3 linked regions of the Styela clava genome follow. The protein of the gene in region 2 purifies or fractionates together with the protein of the main gene of each other region. This does not show direct contact. Links are inferred from orthologs where the notes say so. Each region holds a gene or a part of one and is shown on either strand. Other genes may lie near its edges. The genes, in order: uncharacterized protein LOC120325942, uncharacterized protein LOC120344534 and GTP-binding protein 4-like.

Region 1 (8,056 bases), on a different chromosome or scaffold from region 2:
AGAAAGCAAGTCGAGTCTTGAATGGAAGTCTAAAGAAGATGACATAAAGCGTGAACATGACTTTGAAAGGAAAAAACTATCTGGCGAACATGAACATCAAAAACAATTATTATTGCTTCAAATAATGGAATTGAATAACACTGTGTCAAGGTCTGAAGCAGCGGCATCCAGAAAAGATGACGATCACAGGAGAGAAATAAGAGAATTACAACAGAGGATACAAGAATCTGAGGGACGCAATCAAGACTTGAGTGATAATGTTTCAAATACTACAAGGCCCCTCCTGAGGCAAATTGAAAACCTTCAGGCCACTCATTCATCGCAACAACGTTCATGGAATGCGCTTGAGAAAACATTGAACAATAGATTAGGGGAAGCACAAGCTGAGTTATTAACTGCCCGGGAAAATGAAAGAATTGCACAGAATGGTGCCATTGAAGCAAAATCAAAAGCATCTGCCTATGAAAAACAAGTTGAAAGTGCTCAGAACACTATATCTCAGCAACTTAAGGAAATAGATATATTGAAAAATAAAGTTGATGAATACAAAACTCAAACATCTCTGGTTTCTGAGGAATTGGAAGAATTGAGAATTTTACAAAAAGAAACTGTACACAAATCTAGAAAAGAACGTCTTTTCTTAGAAAATCAACTACAAATGGAAAAGGTACGATTGGAAGCGGAACGAAAAAAATTTGCATCACAGCATGAAGCACTTCAAAAAGAGAAAGAGAGAATGATGTGGAGTAGATCTGAGATAACTTCTGTTTCCAGCAATCAGCTTGTTGAAACCGAGTCAGTTGGAAGCTCAAATGATGCATTCCATTCTACTGAAACATTTGACAAGCATATGAGCTCTAATTCTCTCCCTACATTAGCTAGTCAATTGTCATTAGACTCTGGAAAGCCCATGTCCTCGTCAAATGTTTTAGAAAATCTTCAGACGATGATCAAGCTTCGTGATGGTGAAATAGCTCAGCTACGAGGTGACATTAACATGCTTGAAAGAACTAGATCATCAATGGCTGAAGAAATAGTTCGATTAACAAATTTAAATGAAGATTTGGAAGGTGTTTCCAAGGAGCTCCAAACCATGAAAGATAAACTTGCTGATGTTGAAGGACGTTATTCTGCAATCTTAACCATGTATGGAGAAAAGGAAGAAGAGAATGAAGAGTTGAGGATGGACCTAGCGGACGTAAAGGCAATGTATCGGCAACAAATTAATGATCTTTTAAAAGTGGATCCATCATGACCAAAAGTTTATTATACATAATCCTGTGATTACTGCATATTTCGAGTGGATAAAATCCGTCATTCAAGTTTTGTTTGAAGCTGGCATTGATAACCTTGACAAGTCTTTGTATACAAGCTGAAAACACTGATGCAAGTTTTCAAATAGAACACTATAGATTTATAATGCTTTTGTTAGAGACAAAACTATAGCTAATTGTTTAGAGAAATATCAATGCAATTTTTTATAGAAGCCGATAAGATTGCCAAATGCTTGTTAGGTAATTTGTTGTTCACTGAAGCATTTTGTATCAGTTGGTCCAATTATTATTCGCATTGGTATCCATATGGTGATTGCTTATATATTTATTCATCGGTGGCATTGTTTTATATTTTTATTATTATAATTAATGCTTTATTCTTCCAATGTCAGTGTAAACAGGCTAGCACTTCGAAAGCGAGCTTTTTTTCCAGCCCAGTCCGCAATACGACTATACCACAAGTGCAATGCATTGATTTGATTTTGCACCTGTGGCACGGTTCAGTGGTATCTGCAACGAATCGACGATTGCATACTTTTATCCGCAATTGGTGTGCTTGTGTGTGCAATAACTGATAATCATCCACAGACTAGATAGAATTGACGGGCTGCTAGAATCATAAAATAATATTCTCAGTAGACTCTCTTCGCAGATAATAATGAAACCCTTTTATGCTTTCTATTATAAATGAATATATTTATTGCAATTAATTATTTAAAAATACTTAGCAAAAGCAATTGAAGGAAACTGTAGCAATGACACGATTTAAGTAGGCTGTGGGCCTCAAGCTAAACCTTTTTCTAAAATACATTTGAAAAATACCTTTTCTAATTTGGAACATTCTTAAATTTGATTAGCCACGCAGCTTTTCACATTGTAGTATTTGATTAAGTGTGGCACGAGTCGCTAATGTAAACTGCATACTTGCACTGTTAGTGTGTCATGTCTTGTAAATCCATCACCAAAGCCAATAGCAGGTGCGAGTGTGGGTTTGTTATCACACATAGGGCAAAGCTGGTTTCTAATTGATGAAGATCTCATCCATATAATCAAGTTGGTTCTTTCGCCATATGAAATGGGCATGGCACCATGTTTGTGTTGTCCTCTGTGTAACACTCCTTCACCAACTTTGTGTTTGACTTCCACAGTCTTGTCAGACCTATTGCATTCCTGTTGAACAAAAAAACTAATAATCCCTCTTTTGGCAGAATACGAAAGAATGGGCAACTATTATTATTCAAACCCATACCTGCCTCATTGAACCAAAATATAGGCTTCCATCATCAAAATCTTTTCCAAGGCACACATTCAAGGTTACCTCTGCATTATCATAATGATATCCCAAGTCTAAATCTTGATCTTCTTTATAATTGACTGTAAACGCTTTATGAGAATCTAGTTTTTCATCCACCCAATCCGGGAATAGAATCTTCGCAATAGGGTCAAGGTAACATTCACGCAGCGGTGTAATAAAATCCTCATTGAATCCTAATTCATCAAGTAGAATCTGAAAAGCGGGAGATTTAGGCTTGTTATAAATTAATAACAACTACAAGAAATCTGATACCAATGGTACTTGAAAATTTCCACAAACTACTAAAAATTTTGCCAATTCATTGCCTCCATATCGAAAGCGTTTTCCTAGTAGATGGTGGTGATTTTGGCCAATGCAGATACGGAAAAACTGTCGGTAAGCATGCGCGTTGTTTTTTGCGCATGTGGCACCTTGCACACTGTTGGCATTTCTAATACTCACTCCACCATTATTCATTGTGTTTGGACGACCTTTTGGCATATTGCTACTTTCAAAATTGTTAAGTTCTTCTGCTAAGTTTTTGCAAAATGTCTTCTTAAAAACTGGCAATCGATATACGCCTTCTACTTTTTCTTTCTTCAATTTTTTCGACAAGCTTGCAAATGTGGCATTTCCTTCTTTAGCATGCTTGACAATGGCCAGAAATTCTTCTTTCAAATATTCTTCCTAAATTAAGAAGATTTGATACTCAATATGTACTTGATGCAATTGTATTTTTTTTATTCCTGTTTTTGGACATTTTATTGCAATAATATATCATCTGATGCATATATAACATCATACCTTCAAGACATTCACTTTGTGCAAAGGTGCATAACAAGCCTTGATTTTACTCTTCCGTTGTACTGATTGTGCATCTATATTTTTTCTTCTTGTACTCTCTTTTTCAAGTACAAAAAGCAGTTTATTCTTCTTTTCTGGGGTGGAACACCCTATTTCCTCTAAGAGCTATAAAAAAAGAGGCTGATGGTATAAATAAAATCAAAGTTCAATTGATAGTATTATACAAGATTACATATAAACAAAACTGAAATTTAGAAATCATGGAGTGGACAAAACCTTGGGTATGTTTTAAAATAGAAGCATAAACAGAGATTCTTCGCTCACTTACCAAATATAAAGGTATGTATATACAAAACAGGAATGAAATTGGGTCAATATTGAAGTATTATCTAAAGTTCTTGCCCCAAACCAGCAAACAATATAATATTTGGACACCTGACAAATATACTCACTTTAGAATTTTGCTGAATAAATTCTTGACCGTTATCTTCAAACTCAAAATGTTTCCCATATTCAGCAGAGTAGAAATTTCTGGTAAAATAACATCTGCAGCGGAAGAAAACACTAGGCTCTGAGCCAACGCTCATGGTGAATTGTGCCATTACCCGGTTAGTTCAGTAGGTTGCACCGAAATTGTAACAGTGTCATTTTTTCTTTTGTTAGTTTGTTTAGAGTATTTTGAATTAAATGCAGCATACCGAGATATATATATATATATACCATTGAGGAGTTAAGTCTTGAATGAGTCTTGTTTAGCCATGTATGTAACAAACCGGACACACCATGTCCGATTTTAAATTGACTCCTGCGTTATTGCAGCTACCAAACGGCATGTTCCTGCGTTCATCTCTGGGTTATGTAACCATTGATTGATGACTGTCAATGATGTAATTGTAACTTATACCTCCAGAGTGGTGTTCATCATCTCTCACCAGGCATCCGGCTGCTGGGATTGATATCATGAATCGTATCAAAATAATAGATACCGGTAGGCTAACCTGGAGAAAGTTAAAAAAAAGTGGTTTGGGTACGACCGTGCGGTGCCTGTACCGGTAATGGATGAATGTGTTCGTATGACTGTATGAATATATATGCAGTTTTTGGTGATTTTTTGTTTGTTTTATAGTGGTACGGTACCGGTATTGGGTTCTGTCTGGCTGTGTAGTTTCGTTCCTACAGACCTAAAGTCTGAAAGTAGCCTACTTCTAGTGGTGGTAGCATAACATTCTTTGCATATATCAATCCCAACCCCCACCTGACTGTGTCATATATGGCTTAGTCATGGTGGGGTTGTATGTATGTATGTTTATTCGTCTCGTAAAAGCAATATAAAAGAGTAAGTAATTATAAATACTGAAGACGGGATGTATGCACAAGACCATATTGGCCTAAAACACAGATCTGCGGCATACACCCCTTTTGATATATATAAATTATAATAGGGTAAATCAAATATGTACAATATGGTCCTTTATACAGGCAGTTGTGCAAGGAGGGTGGGTGGATGTCAGGATGTGGTAACAGGGATAAGGGTGGAGTGTACAAAACTGTTTGTACAAAGGAGTTTGTTAGACAAAACAACATCTATAAATAAAGACACAACACAACATGAAATACACTGGCATATGAATATAGTAATAAAAAATTTTTTTTTAAAAAATTAAGAATTTGGATGAATGTACAACACCATTGAGTGATGATACCACATACTATAAAACGCGGGAATAGTTAAGTTTAAAGGGTGTGTACATATATGGTATGCACCACTCAAGGGCGATAGTGTTATAAGTGGTCTATGGCTGTTCTGGCCAAAATGTGACCCTACAGGTTTTGGTGAAATATGATAAAGGTATGTATCAGGTATGTATATGATAAAGGTATGAGATTGATCGTTACTAGAAATACTTGAGGTACGAAACTACACAGGATTTCACGCTTTGGCGCTTTTTTTAACCTGCACTTGAATTTTTTGAAATGGTTCGAAGTTGTATGTAAGTTGAATTGTCCCAACCTCACAGTTGAGATATTTTGAAAATATTCAATGTTTTCCGTTTTTTGGTATTTTTTCATGTAGTTATTGTTTTACATTCAACTCTTGTACAACTGTACAATGAAAATAAATATCTGAATCCAGCCCTATTTTGCATCTAAAATTGAACCATACCGGTCCTATTAGATGACTGTATATTAAATATAGAGACCTAAATCCACTTGGACATGTATATCTAATATTTGTATAGCCTTTATCATTGTGATAGTGTACGTGTTATTTCAATATGATTGTATATATATAGCCCTCGACATTTTTATTTAATCTAGATGTAATTTTTATACACTTAATACAGTAATAGCGATACAAGTTTTATTGGCATTTCTGTACCAGAAATTTCCATTTCCAATAAATCCTATTAATTATAATCATGTATTCAGTATAAAGTATTATTCTAGGACAACAGGACAATAATACTTTACTAATAGTTTTGATTTGTAACAACAAAAAATGGCCAAAACTAAGAAAAGGAATGAAGGAAGGATAAGGAAATCTGCATCTGGAGATAATCCAGGTATGTACATCAATGTGCAAAACTCTTAGGAATAGCATGTTTCTATCAATAGTACGCCATTTCTGAACTGAAACTAAGCTATCTAATATTTTAATATACAGTATTCGTATGTTCAATTGGCAATCCAATTTATACTGGTTCGAGAATGCAAAATACGCAATTACTACTTTATTATTTGGGTATATGGATCCTATAGCACAAATAATTATTATCATGTAATTCCTCTTGTTTTCGAATTATCCAGATTTTGGGATTAATTTACCATATTATGTCCATTTCACCCTAGATTCAAATTTAAGTACAGTGGATATATACAATTGTGAATAAATATATTTTTGTGCCTTCTTAAAAATATACAGACCGAGCTAAAGAAGTTGGCAAAGGAGGTCAAAATATGAGAACAAAGGCAACAATAAAGAGACTTAATATGTACAGAGGTGGAAAGGCTGTGAGGTAAAGTCTGATTTTGATTAATTAATGTCTATAATGGTTACCACTAATTTGAAACTATGTTTTTATTTCTTCTTATTGCACATTTAATTTAACTCATTTGTAGCTCGTCTCATTTATAACATCAATCTTTCTAGAAATCGTAAAGGAAAAATTGTGAAACCTCCTGAATTTCAAGGAGAGCTTCCATCTGGTACACAAGCACGAGTGGAACCAAACCGAAGATGGTTTGGTGAGTTTGAATAAGTTTATACTTCATTTTAAACTGTCTTATTTCACTGAGACATGAAGAACACATATTTTACTCAATAAATAGAATTTTAATCTGGCAATTGTTAATAATTTTATGATAAAATTAGTTTGTCTAATTTATGAACTTTTTTTTTGTGGAGGTGTGACATAATTGCCCTTAAAACAAACAGTCATTATTTATGACAACCACTATATTTTTTGAAGAAAGGAACAGTTGCGTATATTTCTGGTCTCTCACAGTTTGTTAAATTTTATATAATATTTATATGTTTATGGAAATATGGTTTGGAACAGGTTTATAACATATTAATCAGTATTAGTAAGGCCTCGGCTCGCGACACTGTCCAGAATTAGGCTGTTGAAACATTGGGCCAGGTCAGCCCTTATTCATAAATTCTTTGGGAAGTTTTGGAATTAAGATTATTACTTAATTGTATGGGCTATAAGAGTTTTGTATTCTATTGCAGGTAACACAAGGGTCATCGCTCAAAAAAATCTTCAGAGATTTCAGAAAGAAATTGGAAATGTTATGAAGGATCCATATCAACTTGTGTTAAGAACTGGGAAATTACCAATGTCATTATTACATGACAGAGCCAAGGTAATAATTTATTTTGTGTGTGATTTTGAAAATTGAACAAAAAATGAATAACTTTTTTAAGGAGAAATCACAAAAATTTTAGGTGTACGAGTATTTTGTTCAGCATTTTATTGCTTCAAATCACCTTAATCCATATATACTGGGGCCGATAGTGACATCATACTTCCAAGTTCCATATAGTTTTAGTTGCATCTGGTATTACTTTTCTTCACTTCAGAAGAAGCCGGTTGGACCTTTCTTGGGCACATTAGTAATGAATATCTGAAATTTTAATTATGCCAAACGAAACTTACACTATTAAGCCAGTAACAAACTGAAAAGTCACTGTACCTAACAAATTCAATTTTTTCTTATACAGAATGCTCGGGTACATATTCTTGACACTGAAAGTTTTGGGTCAACATTTGGGAAGAAATCAACTAGGAAACGTCCTAGTTTAAAATTTACAGATTTAGAATCGTTGTCTGCTGAGGTGAGATTATTTTTAGGTAGAATTATCGAACATGTTCTAATCATCTAGTATTTTTTTGAATTACATCTTTTTCTTCCAGGTTGAAAAATCGTCAGATCTCTATAAAGAAGAAAAAGATTTGGATTTAGTACGAGAGGATGACGGGACAAAAAATGTTGTTCTTGGTGCGTACTTCACTGCTGGGCAGTCTAAGCGCATTTGGAATGAACTGTACAAGGTATGATTATATTCAGAACAAGAACAGGAGTATGAACCACAGTGTGCTACTGAAGGAATGTTGAATGATGTTTGGTATCATTTAGCTATTCTAGCTAGATAGCATGATGTTAAGATTTTGGTTGATAG
Region 2 (7,011 bases):
GTAAAGTAGTCAGGTGGGGGTTGGAATGACATATGAAAAAATTGTCGAGCCAGGCCGATTAGAAGTAGGCTATATGTGGTACTAAACTATACCAGACCCCACTAGTATTTTTCAACACTTTTGTTGGAGTGGGATCTGAATGAAACATTTAGGAAGCTCGATTGATTCCTGTGCAGTAGCTCATCGAATAAAAGCATCATTCAATCATCATTATTTGAGTGAGTTGTCAGATAAGCGAAATTCGATTTGTTGACTGTTTTTTGCTAAGAACATCCAATTTTTTTTTTTTCTGCAAATTAAATTATTTTCTTCTGAAATCCTATAATGCCGTTTTTAGATTACGATTCTTTGGTTACTGCGCAGCTTCATTTTATTCTGTACTGATATCGCACTACTAAGACATGCTATCTGCTGATCTGGGAAAGAATCAGCATTTATCCTCTTTAAAATTCGACAATATTGCTCAATTCTGCAATTTGTTAAACGTTGCATACTCCGATACTGTTGTTCCCCAACATCAAGAAAAATATCTGTAACTAGTTAACCATTACAACGAGAATATCGGTCAGAGACCGAAGACTTATCAATCGAAAGTTAGGGGATCCCCCAAAACAGCGCTCTTACTCCATAGTGACACCTTGTGTCCCATCACTAATTAATTATTAACTCGCTAATTATACAACATAATTCATCCAAAATCAATAGGCTCCTAGTACGACATATGATGAATGCACATGCAAAATCTGGAGCAGATTCAATCTCGCTTTCATGAGATACCGGTATCGCTTGCATCTAACAGACAAACAAATACCTATCAACATACTTACCGATTAAATTCGATAAGTAATAATGATTAACACTGTTTTCGGCTTTCACCTCCCAGGATAAATACAAAAATAACATCCTATTGCTATCAACAAACCTGAAATTCAATGTCCATTGCACGTCCTGCTTTGGTTGTTTCATAAAAGCATTCTCGTTTCATCGGCGAAATTTGAACGGTAAAGTCGACATCCCGGTACCCGAATGATCCTGCTACAATTACAGACAAATAGAAAACCAATTTGATAAACATTTTGTCTATTTCGTCTCAACTTCAAACAGAAAAAACTCCAATCTATGCTGAACGCCGGCGTACGGGAAGCAAACGACACGAAATGCGGAAATGAGAGCGTAGGGTCAGGGGTTAAAGTTGAATTCTAGTCGTGGCAACCGCCTCGATACCCTTTTTCAAGATCTTCAAATTATCGTATATTTCTTGCGCTGTATTTTAATTTAAGATCTGGTATTACTTTTATGAATGTAATATGTTTATCTTGTGGACAAGATCTGCCACAAATCCCCTTCAAAAAATTTTATTGATTAGGGATCTCAAAACTGGGGGTCCCGACCACGCATCAATTCCCGCCATACCGGTGGGTCGCGAAATGACATAATGGTGGTCGCGGTAAAGAGATTTCAACACCAACTATATTAAAACAAAATATCGATTCAATGTGAAAGATTGATACGTATATTCGTCAAAATTTGATCTTTTGTGTGAGAATATGCGAGCATCGATCATATTGAATGTATCGTCAATTTTATTTTTATTTTTCAATGGTTTCTGTTTTATCAAATTTTAATTTTAGTACCTAAGGTCACAAAAAAAATTGGCCGTGCGAAGTGAGTCATTTGGAAAAAAAGTTTGAAAGAACATGGGTATGGATAAAGTGGACGTTTCGGATGTGTACGCTCGTGCGATAGGTATTATTTTAATTTTTTATCTACGAAATGAAACCATGGCTCGTTTTATTATTTTTCTGTTGTTATTATTAATTTTCTTGTTACTTTATGAAAAAATCGCTTTTCTCATTCACTAATGGACCTTGACTTTGAAATTATCATTATTACGATATAATAAGTTATACTTATACGATATTTTTCAGTTGTTTATTATTGCTATAATCCTATTTTACACGATTACAGGATTAGGATCAATTGGAGATTGAATAAATGAAATGCTCTTTATGTATATTGAGGTAGAAATAAAGAGCACGATATCGGAATTCAACGGAAAAGGTTGGGAACCACTGGACCATACAAATCCAATCAACGAAAGCAAGAAAAACCAGACTCCGTACACCACCGATAGAATCGCACGTTTGTCGCGAGTTGCTTTGTTGATTAGAATTCGTGTTTTCTAGTTTCTTTCCAGCAGATATCAGCAGAAAATCATCATGACTACGCTTCCTATGAACCCGAAACCATTCATAAATTCATTGACTGGAAAACCTGTCATCGTGAAACTGAAATGGGGAATGGAATATAAAGGATATCTCGTGTCTGTGGACGGGTAAGAACTGATTTATTTAGTTAACAGGATAAATCGGGCCTTGCCAAATAAAAGCTCAGATTTTATTTTACCCTGGAAGATAGGGAAACCGTTAGGACAGATAATCCTGTAATAATTGATGCGATGGCAAGCGTATCCATGGCTTTCAAAATGATGCATCAAACATAGCCGTTTCTTCACAACTTTTACCTTAAAAAATTAAAGTATGGCACAGTTCTACGATTCCAAGAATAACCTCCAACATTTAAAGACATCATTTAAAATAGTGACTGCAAACCTCTGGCACCTCTATATCACCACAAACTGGAATTACGCAATAAATTAAATGGAAGTGGAATCTAAAAAAATTGGAATCCACAGAAAAAAGCGCGGCGATGTGGCTCAACGGGTTAAGCGTTAGGAATACGGTCGCCACCACACTTCTAATTACTCTGCGTGGGTTCGCAGGTTCGAATCCCATGCAGAGATGGTTATGTGCGAGAGGATTGCTGGACTCCTCGCCGTCATTGGGTGGATCACGTAACCGCTGGTCGGTTACGGCTTCCTCCACCACCAAGTCCATGCTTCCGAAAACAAACAATATATCTAATCCCATACCCAACTTGGAATGGTAACCGGACGAGAGGCCGTGGCTCGCCATATGGATAAGCCGTCTTATCGGCTTTCCTCTCCCCCGGGATAAATATGTAAATCCTATCCTAATTTAATTTACCAAAGAAAAAAAAATTAGTTTAACATAGAATTCAAGAGTTTGTCGTCACGATTGGTTTATACTATTATCGCAACGAACATGAAACAATCTTACGCAACTGGCATTGTACGAGATGCCCTTATTTCAGAGACAAAGCGGGTATTTGTTTTATTGAACCAAATCTTGGAATCGTAGAACTTTGTTTCACTGCAATGTGCCAGTCGCTGAGCTGAGTGGTAGCAGTTTGTCATATGATTTTGTTGTCTCATCAAAATTCCTCTTTGAGATAAATATAAAAATGTCATATCTCAGTTGAAAACTTCAAATAATTTTTAAGTCTGGTTCCCCCTTTTCATGTAACAACTAACTGATTGTGGCTGGATTTCAGCCAATTTGACCGTTTTTTTTCTCCTGGATAAATCTTATCTCAAGTTAAAACTTTAAACAATATTCCAGGTATATGAACATGCAACTGGCAAACACAGAAGAATATGTTGACGGGGCTTTATCAGGACATCTCGGAGAAATATTGATTCGTTGTAATAACGTACTTTACATCCGGGGAGTAGAAGAAGATGATGAAGAAGGAGAAATGAAAGAATAATCCTCCCCGGGAATTCCTTTCTATACTGAAGACTTCCAAACCTAGATACAACACTTTTTTTTTTTTCGAAAAGAATCATTAAATTTTGAGCTTTTGGGACTTAGTTGAATGTCCGAATGTTTTATCTAATCATAAACTTCTCTGCCATTATGGCTTTTCTCGAGATCATTCATCCTCACGCCTTAGATTTTGTTCCAGAGTGAGAATTGATACCTTTTAACTTAATAAGTATGCCTAATGCTTTCAGAAATCTGCAGCATTAAGCTTGGACTTTTTATATTTTTCCCACTGGTTTGGTGATCGCATCTACGATGGTTTTTACATGGGTCATTATATCGAATTTCAATAATGGAAACATTGTCATATGTGTTATGTGAGCTGTTAAAAATGCTTAGTAAAATTGCTTTCGTCTTTTAAATTTTGTTTTTGACTTTTTGACTTGTTCTGATTTAAAGCATTTGACCTTATTACGACAATATATTTGAAAATGTGCTTAGGAATTCTTATTGGCCACCCTTGGTTTAAATTCATTTTCTAAACTAATTTCAACAGATTTTGCAAATTCACTCATTTTAAAATGTATTATGAATTGCAGATTATTCTTTTTGACCACCCTTGGTACAAATATCATTTCCTAAATTAATTCCCACAGGTTTTTTGAATTCACTGAATATAGATTGATTTTTATGTGTTCCTTGTTCAACATCATAATTCAGAATGTAATTGGTAAAGAATACTATTGGGTTTTGACCATTCATCAGTTTGTAACATTCTCTAACTAATCTAAATTATTAGATATCATTTCTTTTTTCCTGTCTAAAGCTCTGATGAGAGTAGAAATGTTCAACGGGGAGGAAATTCCTAAAATTCTTGTTTTTGGGACCAAAATCATAATGTATCTGGTATGACAGATTAAAAAAAGTTGATTTTTTTGGCAACCCCTGGGTTTAAGTAAGCCTTTGTTAAATAAAGCGTTTTCACCCAGTTGTTTGTATTTGGCGCTCTTTTTAAAGGTTGCACATCCCTGGTTTAAATAATATTTTTAAACTAATTCATTGACTTATTTGTGTTTTGGGCTGAGAATTCTGGCAACCCAGAAATTTTATTTTAAAATGTATTTGGAATAATAGTTTATTCATTTCATCATTTTTGCGTTTATTCTGTCCAACTTTTTTTCTAACTTTTAGACTTTAAATAATATTTTAGAAAATGGTTTTCTATACCTGCAGTGGCTGTGGAGAATCTTTAAAAAAAAACAAAGTCGAAAAACATGTTTATACTTGCCGCGGATGCGAATATTTAACCTGCATTGATTGTAGTTGTGATTTTTACGGCGACGATTACAAAAACCACACTTCGTGCATCACCGAAGATCAAAAATATTCTGCTAAAGGTACGGAATTTAAACCAAATAAAGGTGACGTTAAGCAACAAAAATGGCTTGATAATATTGACTCGATTCTGTCGGATTCTAACTCAAATTTGAGCTCAAAAGCGAAACAACTTATTGAAAATCTAAAAAACTACGATAATATTCCAAGAAAACGCCCAAAATTCCTCAATTTTTTGAAAAATAGTTTGAGAATGTATGATTCGAAACTTGGGGAGGAAATTTGGTCGGCTTTTTCTGCAGCAAACGGAAAAAATGATGTCAAAAATTGTAAAGGGGAGTCAAATGGGGATTCCCGGGAAGAAGAGGGTGTTAAAATAAAGGAAGTTGAAAAAACTGCTGAATCAGCAAAAAATGATTCCGAAATTGTCAATAAAAAAGATAAAAAAAAGAAAAAACTGAAATTGGATGAAAACGTTTCAAATAATCTTGAAAAAGATGAAATTTCAGCAGAAAAACCCAAGAAAAAAAAGACTTTGAAACATAAAAGAGAATTGAAAGACAAAAATGAGAGTTCAGTGAATATCTCGTTAAATGAAGACAATGAAAATGCTGGAAAAGAATGCGAAAACTCTCGTAAAATAAAGAAGAGAAAACTGGACACCACTGAAAATTCTGGAAAATCTAAGAAAAAGAAGAAAGATATAAGGAATTGTAAAGAAAACAATAAAATAGGAAAAACTGAAATTCAGAAAACCGATGAAAATAGTGGGAAGGATGAAATTATAATGAAAAGTGCTGATAATTTGGTGCTAAATCACGAAGAAAATGCTGCTATACTGAAGAAAAAAAAGAAGAAATCTAAAAAAGGCAGAAACGGACTCAAAAATGCTGATAATGGGATTACTGATGAAAGTTTGATAAAAATTGACAATTCGGAATTAAAAAATGTGGGAGTTGACTCGAAAATAAAGAAAAAACACAAAAAGAAAAAAATTAAAACCGAAGTTGATTGAGAAATATTTCTTTCTGCTCCTCCCTGCTTATTACCCACCAGCTATTTGCTCCGAGCAAAGCAATGGACAAGGCGAGTTCTCCGTACTTAGGGGCAAATTTTGAAAACAATATTGATTAAAAATTTTACATAGACATAATTGGTTTTTAGACTGGAAATCAACCATGGTTTGATCAGCAATATTTACCGAACTATTTTAAATAAAAGTTGAAAAAAAGTTGATGTTTTTTTCATATATTCTCAAAACAGTTATTTTCAATTTTTGGCTTCTTGGATTAAAGGCTTTGTATTGCTTATTGTGCTGGATCCAGTAATATTTCCTCTTTGAGTAGAGCTCTAAAGAAGAAGAAAAAATGATATATAATTCAGACTAGAGAATATTACCAATTACTAATTTTTTAAATAAACTTACCGGTACTAATAAATGGCCAAAACCTTATGATCCACTGTACTGAATTATAGGGCCATGTTTAAACAAAGAACACATAGAAGCCCATGTATCTACTGTTTCAAATGCCTTGAGGTAGAATTTACATATTTATCTTTTTTTTTGGGGGGGGGGGGGTGGTAAGGCAGCTTATTTGTGTGGGAAACCACGCCTCTCGTCCAGTTATCAGTCTATGTCGGGTATGGGATAACTTGACCAGGTATATGCTTCAGATTCATGGACTTGATGGTGGAAGAAACCGTAACTGACCGGCGGCGAGAAGTCTAGGACTTCTTTCGCAAATAATTAACATTTTATGTTGACAATATACTCAAAACGAAGGTGATGCTATTTAATGCGATATCTGTACTTGTTCACCATTAACTGTTCCCAATTTGGAGATATGGCGGAAAGTGATACACGTAGCGTGTATCTTACATCCAGCCTACTTCAATATTTTGTTTTTGTAGTTGTCAATATTAAAAACTTGGCCTCACATAAATACGATGTCGGAAAAGGTAACAAAAACTATCAATGTCTGTAAAGCTCCTGTAGCTATGGCTGGGTATTGATTGATGTTTGTTTAGCCATAACAAATTTTATTACAAA
Region 3 (7,269 bases), on a different chromosome or scaffold from region 2:
ACGGGCCGGATTTGGCCCGCGGGCTGTACTTTGCTCATGTCTGGTCTAGACTATAGTCTAGCATATGCAGAACCGGAATCCGTCCTATTCAATTCTGTTGAGACATGTTCATTGTATTGCCGATAATTTTATTCTTCTATTCAATTATTTTGAAAGTGTTTTTCAGATGTATTCAGTATTGTCAAGATGTTTCGAAGCAATTTTAATTATTGTATTGTATGTTGCCGATAATTTTATTGTGCCATTCACTAACATTGAAATTATATTTCACTTGAATAAGACAATATATAGAAATTAGCGGAAATTTGATACAAATGGCGGTAAACCTTTCAATTTTTTTTCAATTAAAATAACGCTAGATGCAAACGTATGTTTTACAATTCGTTCTCCTCATTTCATTATTGAATATGTTATCTATCGAACACGTAACGAAGCTGTCTTACCCTGGCCTCCTTTCCGCGAGATAAATATGAAAATATCATCCTATGTAAACCCGAAACGAGTCCACCCCGCTGTCGTAAACCCGAAACGAGTCCATGCATCTGAAATGTGTGCATCGTGCTAAGCGTTAGAACAGCGTTTCCCAGCCTTTCTTGGTCGCGGACTGTTTTCTCACTGGCGAAAACCTTTGCGAACTTAAGGAGCATTTATTGCAACCGTACTCTTTGTGAAGAAGCAATAAAACCGAACATAACATAAAATTCGGAAATTCGCGCATTTACGCGTTCGTTAAAAGAGCCGACTTTTTAGTGTGTAATGGCGGTTTCTGTCGCACAATATTCAGTCCATGACGACGACGAGAATTTAAAATGTCTTTCTATTCTAATTTATTGTGTTCATGGTGGTAACTCGCCGTTGCGTCGACTTACGACAAGATGAAAACATTACTTCTTTAAAATGCCACGGCAATCTGCGAACATAATAATGTGAGAATATATTGCCCGATTATATTTAGTTTTGATACGTAGTTTTTGCGATCTCGCGAATTTGTTATCGCCGTTAGAAAAATTATACTTTCTGCTGTAAAGTTCCAGATAGTACAACTTGATTTAGCACTTAAATTATATTTAAAGTTTATTAGTAAATCAAAAATACATATTCATCACCTTGCTTTACTATTAAGTTAATTGTGATGATTTTAATATGCAATTGTGTTGACGAAATAAAAACAATACTAATCAGAAAATATTAATATGGTAAAGTGCCCGATTATATTTTGTTTTGATTTGTATTTTTGTGAATTCGACAAATCTGAGCTGTTCGTAGGTCGTACAACACTTACGGCGCTCCAGTACTGTATGTACCAATGTGGAGACTAAGGCAAAGAATCCTGAGGTAAATGCCCTGGTACGTATACCACGGTAGCACCCGAAATTTGGCGATTTGCAATGTTCAAAAAAGCGTTTTTAATCGGTCGCGGATAATCATAAAACAAAACTGATGGTGTTATCCGTTTTATTTTTAGTGTTTTGTATTGCCGCTTTTCAATTTAGAAAATTTGCGTTGCCACCATTGACACCTACCAAAAAAGAATGATTCCTCGTTGTTCCAACTCGCGAACTCTATCGAAGCGTGAGCAGACTCGTGTTTACGTTGGAAGGTGTTTTCGTCACCTGGTACTAATAGTTGAATATACTCATTAACCAGTAATTATTGACTCGAAATGTTATGTGAATAAACTTGACATTTATGTTTTATGTAAATTCTAATGTAAATCGTAACTTGTCTGATAGTTAGTTTCGCAAAGACGTTTGCGACCAGCAGTGAATTTCTGGCTCGTTGCGGACTCATTCAAACGCTTCGCGGACTCATTTGAGACCGCGGACTCGGGTTAGGAAACCCTGCGTAAGAAAAACACGCTTCGCCACCGCACCTCTAATTACCCTACGTGGGTTCGCAGGTTCGAATCCACGTAGGGTAATTATGTGCGAGAGGATTAATTGCTGGACTCTCCGCCGCTCTATCGGTTACGATCTCCCCCACCATCAAGTCCATGCTTCCGAGAACAAACATCTGGCCAACTGCTTACATATTCGACATGGACTAGTAACAGGACGATAGGCCATGCTTCGCTCGATCAATCAATCATTTATTTACATTTACATTAACCGGCTTCCTCCACCATCAAGTCCATGCTTCCGAAAACAAATAACTGGCTAACTAATCCCATAGTCGACCTGGACTGGTAACCGGACGAGAGGCCGTGGTTCGTCCTATAATTAAGCCGTCTTATCGGCTTTTTTCTCCCCGGGATAAATATGTAAATCCCCTCCTATCCTACCCTATTTCAGTAGGCTACTCTGACATAAAAACAAAACGGCACAAAAAGTAGACAGACAAACGAAATGTAGAGATACCTAAAAGGCGAGCATCACTTAAAATAAAGTTAAAAAACACTTTAGCTATATTATATGATTTCGTCTTTTTATCGGCTTTCCACTCCATCGGGATAAATGTAGATCCCATGATGAGATCTACATTCCCATCCTAAATTCCACAATGTCACACATGAATAGGTACTGATTACGCAATCGATTCGGCGATCTGTGTTCCGCGTGTTAGGTTTTTAGGCCCGAGTTTCAGGTTTTGCTATGCTATTTCTATATTTTCGAAAACTGGAAATTGAGTGAGCTTAGTGTATCCGAGTGTGAACAGATATAAGTTTTTCATCGTGAACGGGAATCTAAATTCAGCCATTCCTTACTGGCCTATCTGGCTACTTTTCAGCCTTATTAATTGAGACCCACCGAGTGTTTATGTTACACAAGTTTTGTCTTTTTATTTTGAATAGTTGTTTGTGTGCTGTGGGTAAACTGGCGCATGTATATTTACTTGTGTTAAACCTTTATAAAGGTTTCCCCGATTTTCCCAATCTTCTGTGTCAATGTGTGTTCATTGTTTGTGTTTTGTGTATGATTTTTTTTGCGGAAAAATCGAAATATACTTACTGGTATACTTACAGTCTACCGTACTTCTGGCAGTCTGGCCTGAATGCTAAAATGACTTAACGTTACCGGTAGGTACGACTTAGCCCAGTTACCAGTGCCGACGTTTTTTTCGGTCAACAATCTTACCATGGTCAATCTTACCACTGTCTGACTGTACCACGGCCTATTCCTGGAATATAATTTGATGTTGGTTAGTAGCGGCAGTGTGGCTCATCATACAATTCTCTTGTAGTTTTGTACCTAACTCACTTCTAGTGGGCGTAGCATGACCATTTTTTAATATGTCAATCCTAACCCCAATCTGAAATCTGGCCGTCCAAAGCTTACGTCAGTAGACTACAACATCACAAGCACGTCATAGAGCTTGCCAAATATACGTACGATCACCCGAAATAGCATCGTTGCCGACGATAGAGAACTAACGTCATCGAGCTCTCTCATATTGAGATCGTCGCGACGAGAAAACAAGAGAAATAGCTGTTTGATTTCGGGTGCTCGTCTGCGTGCTTTGAATGACAATTCGTATAGTTTGAAGAGCTCTATTCAGCTATTACGTCATAGTGACATAATTTTTGGATTGTGTAGTCATGTCAGCATGTGGGGGTTAGGATCGAAACATGAAAAAATTGTTATGCTACGCCCTCTAGAAGTATGTTAGGTACGAAACAACATGAGACTCCATTATGCTAAGCGTTAGAAATACGCTCGCCAGACCTCTGATTACTCTGCGCGGGTTTGCAGGTTCAAATTCCATGCATGGACGGTTATGTGTGAGAGGATTGCTGGACTCCTCGCCGTCGTTGGGGGTTCACGTAACCGCTGATCGATTAGGGCTTCCTCCACCAGTCCTGAAGTCCATGCTTCTAAAAAACAATTTGTCAAATAACTAACTAATCCCATACCAGACATGGAATGGGAATCGGACACGAGGCCGTGGTTCGCCATATGGTTAGGCCGTCTTATACTTTCCTTCCCCCCGGGATAGGTATGTAAAACCTATTTTAATCCTATTCAATTTGTCACTGCAAAACTACCTACCCGTACGGTATTCTGTTATGTTTTTGCACTTTTTGCCAAGAACGCAAAAACCTTTTACATGTCTTATGATGGTACGGAAAGAGACGCTCATTTCACAGTTTTAGCGTTTAGCCAAATATAGTCTACTCTGCCTTAGGCATATTGTCTCTATGAAGCATGTAATACAATTTCTTTGTTTTTTTCAGCATAAAATTAAAAATGGCTCTGTATAATTTCAAAAAGATCACAGTGGTGCCATCATCGAAAGTAAGTATAGAATATGGGAATAGTTCAGTATGATATTTCAAGAATAACCCTCGCATTGAAAGACATTAATTAATTATAATAGTGAGAGCAAACTCCCTCTTTACATGACAGTATAGGCCTCCATAGCGGCATAAATCGGCAAACCAGTTTTGCGCAATAAACTGAAAGTAAGAGCAATCTAAAAACTTCACCATTGGATTCTTTGGAACACTGGAACTTCTGTTTGTGCATGACACTTTGCACAAAAGTTACGTTCTCTACAGAATAGTTTCTAAATGACATTGGATCATTTTTAGGTTACTCTGTACTCTCAAGCTAAACTCATTCTCAATTTCTTTACTAATCTTTCCTTACTTATTTTCACAGGACTTCATTGACATCACATTATCAAAGACACAGAGAAAAACTCCAACTGTAGTTCATAAAAGTTATCCGATCTCCAGAATACGAGCGTTTTATTTACGGAAAGTTCGATACACTCAACAGAACTACCATGATAGATTGAGTCTGATTCTTACAGAGTTTCCTAAACTTGAGGTATTTTTATTATTATTAATTTTGAATATTGATACAGGGATGGATAAAATTGAGTGATTCATTATTTTAAGACGCTTCGCTCAGAATGATTATTTTTTGATAGAATTATTCAAGCTATGGCACCGTAGTATAAGTACCAGGTTAGGTTCCGATTCTCCTTACGAATTCAGGAAAAATCTGTGTTAGCAAAGTGAATATCCCCTGCCAATAGGTTTCAGTCCCTTCGCACAACTTGATGTGAAGTAGGCGAAAAAAATTAGTTACCTTCATATTAGTACACATACTTTTGGAGCGCCCAAGCTATTCTTAAAATCTAGAATTTAAAATATTGAATATAATTAATTTCAGGATGTTATTCAGAGCAGAATAGAAGTATATTTTGAAACACGCTTCATTTCCAACTAGTATAATTTTTGATTAAATGCTTTGGTTGATCTTTTTAACTGGTTCAACATAACCCAAAATTTGTCAAAAGTTTTTATAGATATCGTATATAATTTTGCGTTAAAAGTTTCGAAAAAAATAACGAATCATCGGCTAAAATATAGACTGTAATTCCAATGTATTATCTGCACCTAAATATAAGGCGCCACTTGCTTCGCTTGTTGTTTGGTATTTGTAAATAAACTTTTTTTTCATAGGTTTTTATTTGTAAATAACATTTTTTTATAGGTCCATGTTGAGTTTTGAGTGTCCTGCCCAGTGACCAAGTCTGTTATCTGTAAATGGTCCACTCAAAAAAGTAATCGCCCGTCTCTGGATTATGGTATTCTCATTTATCATTTTAATACTATCCCATTTAAGCATCCTTGTGGCAACTGCAAAGTTGATACAGACTAAATATTACCTTTATTCATCTCTTAATTTTTTTTTTCAGGATGTCCATCCATTTTATGCAGATCTAATGAACGTTCTCTATGACAAGGACCATTACAAACTTGCTCTCGGACAAATCAACACTGCCAAACATCTTATTGACAAGTAAGAACGTTGGCTCTAAAACTGACATGGACATTGAGGCGCAATTCTTACCACTTCATGGCAGCTCCCGCCAAAACAAACCGCGGCGTTTTTCGCCATGGTTTTATGGCGCTATTACTCTATATTTACTTAAACCTAGCCATACCTCAAATTAATCAAAAACTGTATCCATACGGAAAATGGGGGCTCCCGAAGTATGCGAACCAAGATGGCGGACATCGGAATGTAATATGTGTACTAGGTTAGGGTTAGGCCATAATTTTAGGTATAAATAATACGGGAGGCTCTTGGCTAGTCTTCGAACTGATAATTGGACTAAAATAAGGAAAATTGGAAAAAAATTATCGCCTAACCCTAACCTGTTACCCATGTTACGTTCCGATGTCCGCCATCTTGGTTCGCATACTTCGAGAGCACCGGAAAATGTTCTAACTTACCCAAAGTGTGTCATCATCAGGGGCAGTCCCGCCATTACAGCCTACATCCCTGGGTTCACACAATTTTACCAACCATGGTTTTCAATTTTCTGTTGTGATACACCACCTCACGCCCTTCGTTCGGGGACTGTGGCAGCTAAAAAGTCAGCTGCCCTGGCCTGACCTTAGCGGCCATGGTTTGGAAATCTTGCAATGGTTTTGCGGCATCTTCAGACGCCACAAGGTGCTTAAAACTGCACTTGTGGACACTGGACAAACTCCGGCGGCCCTCGTGTCAAATCCGGCCTGGTGGGTTATTCAATCTGGCCTGCCTGATGCTACCACAACCGAACTAAAACCAAATTTTTATATTGTTTCACTCAAAAATAGTTCACGAAATTTGTTGATATTGCGATTAAATTTAGTTTTGACACGAGGCTTATTGTTTTCTACTTTCGTAACACACAAATATTGTTCATAAAATTAACACAATTTGAATGTATTCGAATATTTGATTCATTTCAAAATAGTTCAAAACTTTGTTTTTTCTTTTTTCGTTTTAGATACCGCCATTGGCCAATTGTTAGGTCAATAATCAATATGACAGTTTTGGCATGTTCAATTATACCTGTATCCTATTTATACATACCAGCATCGGGCCCTTGCAGGTGCTCCACTCTTTTGGCCCTCGAATATCCTTTATACCTTCCAATTTTGGCCCCGATCAGCCAACTTTGGTCCACTGTGCCTACCACATGACACTATTCATACGTAGTTATTAGAGGTAAGATCTGGCCCAAAAATTTCAGCCCGACCCGAACTCGACTAATTAACTGGATTTGCAGGCCCGAGCCCGAAGCAAACCCAAAATTTCATATTTTATTTAGGATTTCATTGAATTGTCATCGCAAGAGTTTTGTAAAGTATGTGTCGTGTTGATGAGGCAACTTCTGTTTTTTGCAGACCACGATTTCTCGTAGCCACAACACGGCCGAAACGCCTCATTTTAAAAAAAAAGTCGGCGATAGAGTAGCCCCACCGAACCCGACCAGAACGTAATGATTGACATTTCAGGCCCAAACCGGCCCTGAATTTCGGGTCAG

Evidence for each region.
Region 1: the proteins of uncharacterized protein LOC120344534 (region 2) and uncharacterized protein LOC120325942 purify together in Homo sapiens (affinity purification with mass spectrometry; 3 studies listed by BioGRID and IntAct, with this or other methods). This does not show direct contact. The link is inferred for Styela clava from reciprocal best matches to the Homo sapiens genes LYAR and GNL2.
Region 3: the proteins of uncharacterized protein LOC120344534 (region 2) and GTP-binding protein 4-like purify together in Homo sapiens (co-immunoprecipitation; 3 studies listed by BioGRID and IntAct, with this or other methods). This does not show direct contact. The link is inferred for Styela clava from reciprocal best matches to the Homo sapiens genes LYAR and GTPBP4.

What each region holds. Positions count from the first base shown.
Region 1 is NC_135253.1:12,000,886-12,008,941, reverse strand, and holds the start of uncharacterized protein LOC120325942, read left to right. Parts: upstream 1-5,043; 5' UTR 5,044-5,221; intron 5,222-5,796; exon of another isoform or gene 5,797-5,820; 5' UTR 5,821-5,872; coding exon 5,873-5,936; intron 5,937-6,295; coding exon 6,296-6,389; intron 6,390-6,523; coding exon 6,524-6,618; intron 6,619-7,105; coding exon 7,106-7,239; intron 7,240-7,597; coding exon 7,598-7,711; intron 7,712-7,790; coding exon 7,791-7,928; intron 7,929-8,056. Other genes in the region: TATA element modulatory factor-like, read left to right, coding at 1-1,255; 2-oxoglutarate and iron-dependent oxygenase domain-containing protein 2-like, read right to left, coding at 2,181-2,444, 2,524-2,781, 3,031-3,255, 3,373-3,537, 3,825-3,974. UniProt on the Homo sapiens protein: GTPase that associates with pre-60S ribosomal subunits in the nucleolus and is required for their nuclear export and maturation.
Region 2 is NC_135254.1:1,077,462-1,084,472, reverse strand, and holds uncharacterized protein LOC120344534, read left to right. Parts: upstream 1-4,142; 5' UTR 4,143-4,839; coding exon 4,840-5,976; 3' UTR 5,977-6,511; downstream 6,512-7,011. Other genes in the region: transmembrane emp24 domain-containing protein 5-like, read right to left, coding at 923-1,075; small nuclear ribonucleoprotein F-like, read left to right, coding at 2,220-2,335, 3,483-3,630. UniProt on the Homo sapiens protein: Plays a role in the maintenance of the appropriate processing of 47S/45S pre-rRNA to 32S/30S pre-rRNAs and their subsequent processing to produce 18S and 28S rRNAs. Also acts at the level of transcription regulation.
Region 3 is NC_135252.1:23,062,033-23,069,301, forward strand, and holds the start of GTP-binding protein 4-like, read left to right. Parts: upstream 1-4,163; 5' UTR 4,164-4,184; coding exon 4,185-4,232; intron 4,233-4,598; coding exon 4,599-4,769; intron 4,770-5,646; coding exon 5,647-5,750; intron 5,751-7,269. UniProt on the Homo sapiens protein: Involved in the biogenesis of the 60S ribosomal subunit. Acts as a TP53 repressor, preventing TP53 stabilization and cell cycle arrest.